2 linked regions of the Bombyx mori genome follow. The protein of the gene in region 1 purifies or fractionates together with the protein of each later gene. This does not show direct contact. Links are inferred from orthologs where the notes say so. Each region holds a gene or a part of one and is shown in the gene's direction. Other genes may lie near its edges. The genes, in order: protein phosphatase 1 regulatory subunit 12B and serine/threonine-protein phosphatase PP1-beta catalytic subunit.

What was found.
Region 2: the proteins of protein phosphatase 1 regulatory subunit 12B (region 1) and serine/threonine-protein phosphatase PP1-beta catalytic subunit purify together in Drosophila melanogaster (affinity purification with mass spectrometry; 3 studies listed by BioGRID, with this or other methods). This does not show direct contact. The link is inferred for Bombyx mori from reciprocal best matches to the Drosophila melanogaster genes Mbs and flw.

Annotation. Positions count from the first base shown.
Region 1 is NC_085107.1:4,000,548-4,010,725, reverse strand, and holds the end of protein phosphatase 1 regulatory subunit 12B, read left to right. Parts: intron 1-5,007; coding exon 5,008-5,163; intron 5,164-6,660; coding exon 6,661-6,744; intron 6,745-6,910; coding exon 6,911-7,009; intron 7,010-8,553; coding exon of another isoform or gene 8,554-8,640; 3' UTR 8,641-8,675; downstream 8,676-10,178.
Region 2 is NC_085124.1:8,354,003-8,358,278, forward strand, and holds the start of serine/threonine-protein phosphatase PP1-beta catalytic subunit, read left to right. Parts: upstream 1-1,476; 5' UTR 1,477-1,743; coding exon 1,744-1,792; exon of another isoform or gene 1,793-1,904; intron 1,905-2,152; exon of another isoform or gene 2,153-2,269; intron 2,270-3,037; coding exon 3,038-3,169; intron 3,170-4,276. UniProt on the Drosophila melanogaster protein: Required for cell adhesion in non-muscle tissues and in maintenance of muscle attachment. Vital for larval development.

The DNA of each region.
Region 1 (10,178 bases):
TGATCGAGGATGAGTCGAAAACAGGATAGATACACATCGCGGCCACGCAGCCTGACCTCTCATTATGGCTCTTCGCCTAGTATGCTTGGCTCAGTCCTAAGTGGTCAATACAGCCCATACGCGAATAATTATTCGAATTATACTCCGAGTACGTACAGAAACTACAACCCTTACAGTGTGGGGTTGGGTCGTCCGGCTTCTAATCTCAGCATTTATGGAGGGACAAGTTCGGGTTACGGCGGTGTGTATTTGAGTGGCGCGACTTTAGGATCTCTGAACTTAATGACTCCGGTGTTAAAAAAATTGGACAAAAAGTTATTGGCCAGCCAAAAGAATTTCAAGCCAAAACCAGTTCCGCCAGCTAAAGTGACAGAATCAGCGCCTGGAGAGCCCGTTCCGGAGATACCACCGGTACGACCTGAACGGAAACCCCGCGCCAACAAGCCTGCCACCGCACTCGACAAGGAGAAGTCTCGATCCCTTGGCTCTCTAGAGACTGTCGGAGGCGTCGGATCTCGGTCATTGAGTCTCAACTCATTAGCTTCAGATGGATATTGCGTATGTACTTTTAGAAATTAACTAACTAGGACTACAATATTTTATCTATGATTACGAAATAATATTATAAAGAACGCAAGTAAATTATCCCCGAAATCCAAGTATCTAACTGGCCCCACGCCATGGATTCTCAAATATTTTACCCAGCCGCGATTACATTTATACGATTTGTTTACACGCGAGCGCGTTGAATTTATTTCGTAAACTAGGTGAAATCATCTTGTAGAAAGATGAAAATGGTCGGAACGTTCTATGTGAAGTGAACTAATTCATCAAGAAAAGTTCCATAAACCTATTTTATTAGTGACTCGTGAATTTATCGAGCGTGTGCCGTCAGCAACGTTAAATGTCTATGATGATTTAACCGACATTGAACATAGCTTTATTTATTTGGGTTGTAAAGAGAAGAAATAATCGATTTTTCATCGATTGAATTATCAAAAAAGAAATAAGCCGTTATAAAAATAACAAATTTTATATTAACTTTTTTCGAGCGAGCGAGCTTCTCCATAATTGTGTCCAATTCCTCACATTACACACCCACAGTAATGTTGGTGCTATTCGGTAAGAAGCTGTGATGAAATATAACGGCACTAGACCACCAAACAGTGACCATGACATTTTAGGGTTAAGTTTTCGTTTGAGGCATTTCCTAGGTGCTGAACCAGACCCTCGTTACGTTTACGACTATCGAAATGAATCCATTTCTCATAATCAAGTGACAATGCAGATGAAACAATATGGTTTTGATGCTAGCTTGATGTTAAAAGCTGCTATTAGTAGCTGAGTTAGTTCAGCGATAGATTGACTATCGTCAGTTGTCACTATTACCATTGTTTCGTCATTGTTGACTTTAGTTTTCGCGTGACCACTGGATTCATATTTAAATCAAAATTTCCATGTCGGAAGCCTTCAAACCAATAATGTGTCGTGCGTTCGTTTATAGCGCTCATGTTATTAATTTTGTAAACCGCTTGTGTAGTACTGCTACCGCAACAGAACTTGTATGGCATAATTAGTCGTATTTTTTATCGCGTCGAAAACGAAACACTAATCAATAAAAAACGACTTAATTAGAAAATAGAATCCCATATTTTTAACATAAATGTCATTTGAGCTTAGAATGTATTGTCAGACATAAAAAAAAAAAGTTGCAAGTGGTCGGTATTGTGAAGCGGCAACATCATGGTAAAGTTCTATTTCCAAGAGTTTTATATCAAAGAGTTTCATTGTAACTCGATACCGCCCTCGCGCCGACATGTGCAGCACTCTTCTTACGACCACGACGACCGTTAACCGTTGAAAACTTCGAAAACTATAAAACGAAGAAGCAAATAACGCAAATAAACCTTAAAAGTATTTTGAGAACAATGTAACTGAAACTGTGTAGGCGTATAAGGGTGTAACGAACTTAAAAATAAAATAATTAACATATATGTATATCAAACACAATGAACTCCATTTCTTTTGTAGCAAAAGAGAAAATGGTTTTTTCCAGAAGTACAAATAAAAAAGGTTTTTTTTCTAGACACACATCAAAGAACTCGCAAATCTCCTAAACAAATTACAATATAGCGAAATATACACTTTTCCACGAAACACGTGTATACATGAGTTTTTAAATCTCCAATCCATCATGTTTTGCGAAGGCGGGTGAATATTTATGTGGTCTGTCCTTAGCTGGTTAAACAGTTAAAATTTATAAATTCATACACCAGTGTTGGTTTATTTTATTACAATGATTATCGTATTAATAACACGCATATCGATATTTGTATAGCATCGATACATATAATTATGACAAAAGACAAAGTATCATTCTATTACTAGTCGGGACATTAAGAAACAACATCATGAATAAAATGATGTAAAGAATTTGAATTATTTCGTTTTTTTAACTAGAGATCATGATTTTTCGATCGCGGCACATTTGTAAAGGCACTCGTGGCTTAGGACCAGTAATGATTGGACACTTACTATGCAATCATAAAATTCTATTATCCATTAAAAAAATAAATCAATAAGACTCGAGCTACCGGTTTGAGTTGTAAAATAATTTAATGGAAGCAATTCAGAATTGCAACAAACGTTGAACAAGCAACTGCAATATTTTGTTTCGATCGATACGTCCTCCGTGTCTCCGTTGGGAGCGACGATGTTACGATGTTTTCCGAAGAAGGAGGAGGGATTTTGCATAGTCCCAGACTCTGAAGGAGGCGGCCTCTCCCGGTAATTAAGACCATGGAGCGACCGGGAGGCTACTAGCACTAGCGCGCTATACTAGTTATGAAGTCCGACTTATTGGCTGTGTTTCGCGGCTCTGGTTCATTGGAGTATTCTATAACACCAGCAGCACCGTGGGGCCTCTGCCGTACTATGAGGCCGGCGAAGACATCAATTCGTCTCCGACGACTTCATCTTTTGAGATACTTGGTGTGAGTCGCGGGTATGGCCGTAGTATTGACTGTGGTAATATCTTACTTCTCCCGGGCTCTGTTTCGGGCGGGGACCGGACATTCAGGCGAAATTCCAGGGGAGTCGTTTATAAGTGGCCTCTAGCATCTTAACAGTCCCACCTGCACCGCAATTTCCCCTGCCGCAGAAGGAACCAAATACGTGAAACTGAGAAGATCCGTGAGCTGTGTCTGTGATCCGAAATGACGTGTTTTGGGGGACGTCGACTTACGATGCACACTAACCTTATGCCACGTAGTCAAAATTGTAGCCTCTAGTCAGTAATGTTTGTCTGTTCTCTCGAAGGCCTCTTTGTTGACTTCAGCTGCCCAGCTCATCAGCTGTCTAAATGCCGGTTACATTTAATATACTCGGGAAATAAATTCAAACTCTCTGTTTGTTTTCAGTGTTTATTTTACCCTGCTAATTCCTATCTCATGCGCTACATTCGGTGTTAGGGCTGATTGTGGTCGTGGCTATATGCTACCTGAGAATGAAAGTAGTCGTGATGAGGTTATGTATTTGATCGTATTATCATAATATGGCTATCATATATCATTTTCTACTCGGGCTCCAGGCTAGGCTAACAAAGCGCTCATCCCGAGGCTCAGTTGTCCCACTACTGAAGATGGTCTTCTAATTATCGATGGAGTTTGGAGTGGCTTGTATTTATGTTGGAATCTAATATCTGGTAATGTCTATGTAAGGATCGGCTATAACTGTATCTATTGATTTATATACCTGTCTACGGAATTTACAGTATATTCACAGAAATCGGCTCGTTTCTCGAGTGACTCACTATTGTACAACGGTGTCTCGTTTGGATGCTCGGTCAGAACCAGTATCTCTGCAAAGTATATTTGATACTCGGCATTCGGGTGTCGTTATTTCTATCTCGTACGTATTTCTAGTGTCCATAATATAGGAGAAATTAAAAGTAAATAAAATTATTTCACACAACCGCTATTGATATTCGGATCAGAATTTCTAGCAACTTTTATTAACTAACTAATTCATTTAACTACACATACGTTCAAGGCTAATACCGTGCGAGACGGCAGGGTATTCGAATTACTGTTTCATATTAGATTAGCGTCTGTCTCTAGAAACATTTAGGTCATATCAATGACTTATTAATGTCAAGTTAATTATTTTCTAACGGGATTAGTTACCGATATATGATGAATATTTCGTGTGATATGATATACATGGATTTTCGGATTAATAGAAGAGTTTAACTTACGATTTTTTTGCCGTGAGATTGAATTGACGAAGTTGAAGCCCATTTAAAAACCCCACTCTTGGTTTTTGGTCCCCGCTTCTGCTTTGCTGCTGAGGTGGAATTGTGACAGGACAAGAGAGGTTAACGCAAGTTTCGTTAACTCAATCAGCGGTCGTCGACGACCACCATGTTGTCTTCTAACATCCTTCACTGGTCTCTAATCAAACATTCAATGGGCCTGAAAGACGTTAAGGGTTGTGGAGCGTCTGAAATATCTTGTCCTACATCCGACTCGATAAAGGCTATTCATGCAAAGAGAAAATTGTTCTGACAGTCAAACTCGCGTATCTTACCATACGTGGTTTCGTAGAAGTAAAGTGTCGCCATTCAGACCTCGAGCCACACATGTATGTCTCAGAAGTGAGACGGCATTCAAGTTATAACCATATCCATGTGTGTAAATGTCGAACAAATTGAACGACTTCAAAATGATATACACATTATTATTTTTATTGCTTAGATAGGTGGATGAGCTCACAGCTCACCTGGTGTTAAGTGGTTACTGGAGCCCATAGACGTCTTCCACGTCACCCACCTTGAGATATAAGTTCTAAGATCTCAGTATAGTTACAATGGCTGCCCTACCCTTCAGACCGAAACGCATTACTGCTTCACGGCAGAAATAGGCGGGGTGGTGGTACCTACCCGCGCGGACTCACAAGAGGTCCTACCACCGTACCATACTCAACGATTTTTTTTATCTATTGTTTTAGTCTGGAAGCGAACGTACCGAGGAAGGCGAAGAGCGAGACTACAAAGCACTTTATGAAGCGTCTGCCAGCGAGGTGCGGCGTCTACGGTCACTGCTCACGACTTCAGAGCAACAGCTACGCGAGGCCCGCGCCACCATCGCAAGGCTCACGCAAGTGGTATGACATGTACTTTGATGTCGGTGTGCATGATTGTTTCATTCGCCTGCTCTGTGATTTGCGTTCAATAATGATTACATACAATCCCGTAGGAAACTGGAGGGTTCAAAAGAATTGCAATTTCCGAACGGCTAATTACAAATTTTTGTTTCGAATTGTAAGTTCATAATTTAGTTTAAAATTTTAAATCCTGACTAAATATTTTTGAGATTTAAAATCTTGCTAAAATGCCTAAGAATGTATTTAAATATTCCGATCAAAGTTTCTTTGTAAAACCATTTCATGCATATCCGCAACTGTCTAGAGGGCAGTCATACTAAGAGTATGATTTACGATAAATCAATTAGATTTCCTTAAGTAAATTTCACATGAACCGTTCACTAAAAACTAGAATTGGAACGTACGAAAGAAATTCGCAGCGCTTTAGAATCCCTGTTTTGTTTCAAATAGAATTTACTTTTCAATTCTTTTATTTTGTAGTCTGTATCTTACGATAAATGCGTAGTGCACAAACCACCCTTTCAAAACCTACTGCTGCAACTTGCGAACGTGCTTTTGTTTATTGTGTTAGTATTGGTCGTAGATTTGTGTGTTATCATTACGATGTTGTGATCAGCTTTAGACAAAAGAAGAAGATTGGAACACGGACCCAAATATAATAAATACCTAGTGTGGTTTGTGTTTGTTTATGTAGTGCGGCGTGATTTTCGTAAGTAATTATCGGCTTAAGGTAGATGACAACTTGGCAGCCGCGCTTTTTGCATTTGCGTAGGTACATTGTCAATTTTAGATGTTTTGCCCCGGCGATACATAGACACAGCATGGATGCATGATGCGCATTGCGAATACGCACCCGCAGCTGTCTATCATTTAACGAAAGAGGAGATATCGTTTTAGACGTGAATCACTACTTATATGAGCAATTAATTTGGATATAATATATTCCAATTACTGAAGACCATTCAAGGTCATTTTTTTTTAATATCCGATATCTGACTCAATGCATTATATGCTGCAGTATTTACGTGTCATAAATGTGATTAATCATTAAATAAAATTTGATTTTCAATACTCGTAAAAATTTCATTGAATTTATCGTGATGTTTCATTTCGACACGTCAAATTGTAAACAAATTGTGCAATATATTAAAAAAATAATTAAATTCTTTAATGCTATGCAGAATGTAATTAATTGCCCAATCGTAAATTGCACGAGTATGCAATGACCGTAACAATAGCTGTCGAATTATTTATTAAAATGATTATTAAAATGACTTGCAAGATATATTCGGCGTTCATTAACGAAGCTGATGCAATTAGTATATTTTGTAGGTATATATTTACATAAGGCATATTACAAAGTACTGATTCACTTTCTGAAATGTGTCTAATTAATGCTGTTATTTCGAAGCGAAGGTCATATTATTTTGAAACTACGGGTTCACGATTCACAGTATTAATGTGATTTGATAATATGAAATTTTGTTTTGTTCTCAGAATCAGAATTCATTATCTGAAATCGAGAAACGGGAAAAGAGAGCGATGGAAAGAAAACTATCGGAAATGGAAGAAGAGCTGAAGGTAACGAATCACAAAATAACTGTTTTCGAACGATATCGAACACTGTTCCTACACCACACATTATAAATATATATATATGTAGGTTAGAGTTGCAAAAATTGGCGTTCGTCAAGATGGCGCCGCACATCAGCCGCAGATAACAATAATCAATGTTGATGTTTTATAGCAATTGCAAAAACTAAAAGCCGAGAACGAAAGGCTGAGGGCAGAGAACCGTGCACTGACGCGTGTCGTCAGCAAATTGACCAACTCTGCCGCCAAATAGGTAACTGTGTACGTTTGTTGAGCGCCCGCTCCAGTGGCGACGCCGCACGGCTTGTTTCGGTATCACCTACAAACATCTCGCTTGCAATCCTACCAGAATAATTCTTGCGTCATTTATAAATACACTTAGTTTTGAATCACTCAATTTTTTCTTTAATATCCCTCTCTCCCCCTCCCTCCCCCTCCCTGTCCCCTCCCCCTCTCCCCCTCCCTCTCTCCCCCTCCCTCTCTCCCCTGCCTCTCTCCCCCTCCCTTTCTCTCTCCCCTCCCTCTCTCCCCTCCCTCTCTCCCCTCTCCCCCTCCCCCTCTATCCCCTCTCCCCCTCCCTCTCTATCCCCCTTTCCCCCATCTCTCTTTCCCTCTCTCTCTCTCTTTCCCTTTCTTCTAACAGAATTATATATATATTTAAATATTTAGTTTTCGAAGGCTGTTTTGCTAAATCCGAAAAGGCAAGTGACGACCGTAAATTCTAACTGCTTTAATATTTCTTCAAGATATATGATTGATACTAAGGTCATGTTAGGTTAGGAGACGTATACACTAACTCTAGGATCGGGTGGTTGCAAGCGAGATGTCGTCCTCTAGTTTCGTACACGTGGTCCGTGGACCGTACCAGTCGCGATCCCCACTACGTCATATAACGATGTGAATTAACCGTGTGATATGGCGAGCATGCTTTCGTACGTGTCTGTCTTAACTAACGCGTGTTCCCGGATGCGCTATTCGGTTCGCATTCAAGCCAATAACGTAGACGAAGTCGGATGCGTTGTGTTTTATTATATCTGTTTTGTTAACGTATATACATATAATATTATATACTACGTAAGGGTTTGTTAAATCGTCTCAAATTTAGTTTTGATTGTACGTTAAATGTTTAGTACTACTACTGTCGGTGAGGGATATTTGTTTTGTAATGTGATTCAGGCAAAACAGTAGAGGTGATGAAAGGTAATAGGTTCTTGTGGTATTTATTACCTCATTAAGAAATTGAAATGAAACACAACGTAGTGCAACGAGCTAGCGTGTGTTGCATGAAATGTTCCCGTAATTGTTGAACGAATCAAATCATTTCCCAGATTTTAAACGTATCGAATAATGTACGTACATAAGTACTTTAAAATAGTTATTTTTTATTACAATTAAAACGTCAATCGACCTAACGAACGAAGTACACATCGACACTCTGATCGAACACTTAATACGCACACACATCACACCCGATTAATGATTTAATTTTATTACTATAAAGTTTGGTACACATCCTAACCGAAGCGTAGCGCATCATGTACATACTGTGTTTTAGCTTTTAGTTTTTAATCTTGTATTATTTTACAATAAAATTTTTGAAATTAATTTCGTTTGAAATCAATTTTTTTGGGAAGATCACCTTGTCGAAACTATAAATTCATGTAAATATATTATATTGAATTATCGATTCTTATAAATAGGTGACGATTTTTTTTATCGTGTTTTTTTTTTTAGTTTTTTTCTTTTTCCGTTAAATATTTTGATACTTGCAATTGATTATACAATGGACGTTTTCAGTATCAACAGGCACTGCAGGCCGAAAACCAGCGGCTGAAGGACGAGAACGGGGCGTTGATCAGAGTCATCAGTAAGCTGTCCAAATGAATCTCGAGCTCGCTGAGCCAATGTTCGCGGACAAACTGACCTCCCTCACAAACAACGCCGCTATTAGACAGAATCAATCCGAACGTTTAGGACATTTACTTACACGCGAAATACGAAACAAGTGCGTGAAACCATAAACTTCATGTATTACGAGTGATCGACACCATTGTACATAACATCGATTCTTTTTCGTTTTCATTCGGATATGTAATAAATATATATGTACGTCTCTGATCGCATCCCCTCGGAACATTGCAAACTGTAACTTTTATCGTATATTGTGAATTTTACATATTCTTAAAATTTCGAAGGTTTTACAAACTTTATATTATTGTCGTATTGTTATTATATATACTATATTATGATCGCACATGTAATCGGTATTGGAATCAAGTTGCGGCGTATGAACACGTGTGCGCATCGATATTACTTACTGCTAATGCGTTTATTTCTTCGTTGTCTATTACTAATTATAATGATTTGTGCCTAAAACATAGTTCCTGCTATTAGCAAAGTTCCGAAGATGAATTTATTGGAACGGCCCCCTTTATACAGTGTGGATTATGCATAATGATTACGAATTTTGTTTAACGATAATTTATTTATAATTTAAAAAAAAATGCAATCTATATAAACTTTAATATTAAAATCGCGTAAGATACGAAGCAAACGTGTAAGTTCTAGTAATCGAAATGGTATACTTACTAATTTTACGATTACAATTTTATTATTTTTGTGCGAAATAATTAACCGCTTTGTATATGTATGGATTTGTATTTAAAATTGAATCTTTGCAATTATTGTTTATTTTTTTTTTGCTTGAAAAAAAAAATTACATTATAATTCACTGTTCTACATGCACTTGTTACATGTACAAATAAGTATACATACACAATACGGATGGTTTTTCGGTGTCCCATTTTGTATTTAATGCATGTAGTTGTTATTAACAATGAAAAATATCGATAGTTTTACGATTCGTTTATTTAAATTTGATGCGCTTTCTTACGTTTATTTTTTGTCAACAGTTTGAAATATTTATTGTGTACTTATTTTATATTATATGTATTACGGGCACTTTGTAATCGGTGACGTCGATAATAATAAGAATAAGGGAATGATCGATCGACAAAAACGATATGTCGGCGGCCCCAAAATCGATTTAAATTCGTAGTTCTTAATCATATGAAATAATGTAGCTTAAACGTAAACGTTCATACGAAATCGTTCTAGAAGTATCCATATTCGTGTTGATAGTTATCGATGTATTCCTAAATTGAGGTACGTAAGTGTTATAATAGGTTAGTTTTAATTGTGAACCTTTTTGGGGGGCGGTGGGGGGTTAGGTTAACATGTCCCCCTCCCCCCCGTATTCGTAGTCTTGTGTGTTGCGGGAATTTTGTCGTCATCACACTTTTGTACAGCAAACGCGAGTCCGACCAAATTAGATAATGAAATTCAAATACTTGTACAGAAAATAAAATTGATCCTTTGAAGTAAAAAATAGGAAATAATAATTAAAACGAAACATGAATTCG
Region 2 (4,276 bases), on another chromosome or scaffold:
TTAAAAATAAAACAAGTGTTGTCTTTGCCTAAAAGTCAAATTTAGTCGATGGCTCAAAACACAAAATATCAAAAAAAAATACAATGACCAAAAATAAAAATAAACTTGTCCACTTATTAATCTAAAAGTAGTTGTGAATTTGATTTCGATTAATTTTAGAGAAAATTAATGAAATTATAACACCTTTGTATCAGATTATATAGAATGAGCTTTCTACTACAGAACTAATAACTGTTTTTGCAACTTATACCGGTATGGCTGTCAATTGTAATATTTTAATAAATCTATTAAGCCTTCCAAAGCAGAGCAATATTCAAGTTTGTCTCAACATGCTAGTCCAAGCGCTGTGTACCATTCCAAACTCATTCCAAGCCCAGTTTGAAATACTCGGGAAACACTGTAGAGGCAAATTAAATATCGAGCCGAATGGTACGTGGAAAAAACATCTCTGGAAACGCAACGACTCCAAGTTCGATGGTTTTTAGAGTAGTAGTTTAAAAATATTATCGGATGAATACTTCATTTTAATGCTTAGAACAACTTTAGAAACGATGAGTAAAAAAGGTACTAATTGAATAATTCAGCTGATTTTACTTTATTTCAATTTGAAGCGAATAGAGCACGATTTACGAATGGGCACCGATAATGTTAAATTTCATGGAAAGTGATCTCTCGAGAGAATATACTTTAATGCACGCCAAAACACAATTAACATTAAAAAAGAATCAACAAGTAGATATATTTGTACATTATGCGACCTTATTACTAAAAGCGATCTGTTCTAGACAACCGATTTATTTACAGAAATTCTCAAAATATTAAGATACAGTATTGTATATGTTGCGGTGTACTATTAAGAATAGATTAATAAGGAAAAAAATACATTTTTTTTATTGCTTAGATAGGTGAACGAGCTCATTGCCCCACCCTTCAAACCGCAACGCATTACTGCTTTACGGCAGAAATAGGCAGTGCGGTGGTACCTATCCGTGCAGACTCACAAGTGGTCCTACCACCAGTAATTACGCAAATTATAATTTTGCGGGTTTGATTTTTATTACAGCGATGTTATTCCTTCACCGCGGAAGTCAATCGTGAACATTTGTTAAGTACGTATTTCATTAGAAAAACTGGTACCCGTCTGGAATTCGAACACCGTTGCATCGCTTCAACACGAATGCACCGGACGTCTTATCCCTTAGGCCACGACGACTTCAAACACAATACAATAAATAGTATATATGCTTAGACCGTTTACACAATATGAAATCACCATAATCACTTATATAGGTCCCAATATACTTTTATATATTAATTTACTTATATATACTTAATAAATCAACAGCATGGAAACGATAAGCAAACAAACACAGGAAAAAATTATACGTCTCACCTAGGAACCCAAAACGTTCTTGCAGATATGTATATTTCCAACCAAACCGATTAAAAACCAAATACGAATCATTTTGCAGTACTTGGAATGTACCTGAAACTTACTCAAATGCTATTTTATTTTAACGTTTTGTGTCTACCAATGGACATTTTTTAAGTTAAGTAACTATCCATGAAACACAATAAATGAGAAGCGACGATAAAAACCATTTTAAACATAAAATTGTTCTCCTATTTACTTCTTTACAAGTTCTGCGTATTATGAAGAGTAATTCTAACCACAAACAATAAGAGCAAACAGGAAGAAAAAAACATTTGACTTTTTGACATAAATTTATTCGTGTAGTAAATATGGCTGACGAACTAAATGTTGACAGTCTAATTCACAGACTTTTGGAAGGTAAAATGCAATTTGTTACGATTTTGTGAGCCTCTCTTAACTACCAGACGTCTAGTTGCAAGTCTGATAATATTGGGTTTTCATTCAGCTGGTCCTTGTTGCGTAATTATTTCTGAATAAGAAGGCATAGAAACGTCAACCTCATAAATAAATCGATTATCCTTAATTTCTTATCAGGCTGCATATTAGCGTTTCTGTTAATGTTTAAATGCCTTGGATATGTTATTTTTCAATTAGAAGGGAAGATTTACGTATAAACAATAGTTGTTAGATTTTAGCCCTGAACAATGATGTCAGACTTCCATAGATTTAAACACTCACAAACTTATTGTTCTTTTATTAGTGTTACGCATTGCTTACTTGATTCAAACATATACATTTCACTTTATTGTGCTGCTTTTTGATGGGTTACAACAGTATACAGACTGCAACAAGAAACTGCAAGGAAGAAAGGCAAATTGAAAGACATCTTTTCAGGAGAATGTATGGCCACATTCAAAATTCTTGCCAGAGTATTCAGCTAGAACGTTTATTTCTTACTACCCTAGTGATCAGTCTTAACCGAAAGTTTATTCCCAATAATTATATCATGTGTTACCCATCAACATCTCATTCTTCAATTGAATCTAAAAATAGCCACAAGTATATACAAACTATGATCGCTAAACCATTTTATAGGAAGGTCTTGCAATCTGTGTTTACAGCTGTATAATGTTAATTTAGATAAAAACTTGATCTTAATCTTGCAAATTTTTTAAATTAATAACTTTTTGAGATTATATTGGTGATCAATTTTGATACTGAGTGCTAGTGTTTAGGAGTGCTTGTTGATTTGTGTGCCTATAAATTTATCAATACTTGAATACATTTTGTTTTGTTAGATTCTTATCAAATTTCATTCTAGGAATGGTAGTTAAATTGTATTTTGCATGAAAATGTCTGCATGCCTTACATGTCATAAATATAACATTTAATAAAACCCCTGCATTTGATAAATGTTTTTTGTGTTATGAAAAGCATTCTGTTTATTTTGAGTTAGAAGTTAGCAAACTGAAACCCATTCAATTAAATTTATAAAATTAAATTGAAAACTATACTAACTATGCTTCCTTAGCTACTTATAAGAATAAAATTATAAACAAAAAAAGGCTAAGAGTGCTTAATTGCTTTTAGTTGTACTACAGTTTTAAACAAATCTATATTTTTAATAAATCTTATTATTCTGACTTCAAACTTTTGCCTTAGTTCGAGGATGCAGGCCTGGCAAGACTGTGCAAATGTCGGAGGCAGAGGTACGTGGGCTCTGCACAAAGTCCAGAGAAATATTCCTGCAGCAGCCCATATTACTGGAGTTGGAGGCACCACTCAAAATTTGTGGTAAAGTCTTAAAAGTTCTTTTTTTCACTAAATTAAAAACATTCTTAATGAAATATAAATATCTTACACCAGTAACAATGAGATTTAAAAATAATTATTTAGCTTATTTAATTTCATGAACCTAAGCTACTTTCAAAAGTAAAATTCTATTTTCAAAGTTTGTTATTTCATTCATACTATGTTTATTTAACTTTTATGATTTAATACACCCTGTATTAAAGCATAAAATTTAAAATAAGTATTGGAATCATTCCCTGAGCTGTAATAGAATAACCATTATCCAAAATTATCTGCAAGACAATTCTGTAGTTGGTGGTATTAGGGCATACTTACCTAGCCCTAGCATTTAATACAATCCTCTCTGTACCTCCTGCAAAGGAATCATGCATGTAAATGAAATGTGAATAAACGTGGTATTGCAGAAAATTTTTGGGAATATTGGTGAACAAAAAAAAATCAGTATTATTTATTAAAAATATGTAAAATAAATGCATATTCTCAAAATTAATGCCAACCTGAATGAATAGAAAAAAATATTGAAAATAGAAGTTTCAGTTTCCTAGGTCTTCGGGAAGTGCCTCAAAAATCAGATGAAGATCAGATCAGAATCAGAAAAGATGTCAGTGTTTGGTGTCATTCTTTATTGTCACACTTTTTTCAATCTAGCCAGCTCTAGACCCACAGAGAGCAAACATACAAACCTTTTTTTAAATGTCTTTAATATAAATAAAAGTTTTTTTTTTCTCCTCCCTTTTTCTCATTATGAAATTATGAAAGAGTAACTTTTTTCCTCAGCATGCATACATGATGCACCATAAGTGCCACACAAAAAAAAACATAAAATAAATTGTGTCTCACTTCTTCCTACTTTTTGCTAAGATTTTATACTCAAAGTTATCTATAAAGTATTGTTCTTATTAGCTTTATCTGTATCTATCTAGGTATATTTCTATATATCTCTCTCTCTCTCTCTCACTCACTCACTCACTGACTCACTCTCTCTTCATGTAACTAAATCTTTCAACATAATATTTACCCTCTGGAGTTTTCTGATCAATTTGAAAATTTGTACGTGTATCTAGGACTGATGAGAACACAATAATTATA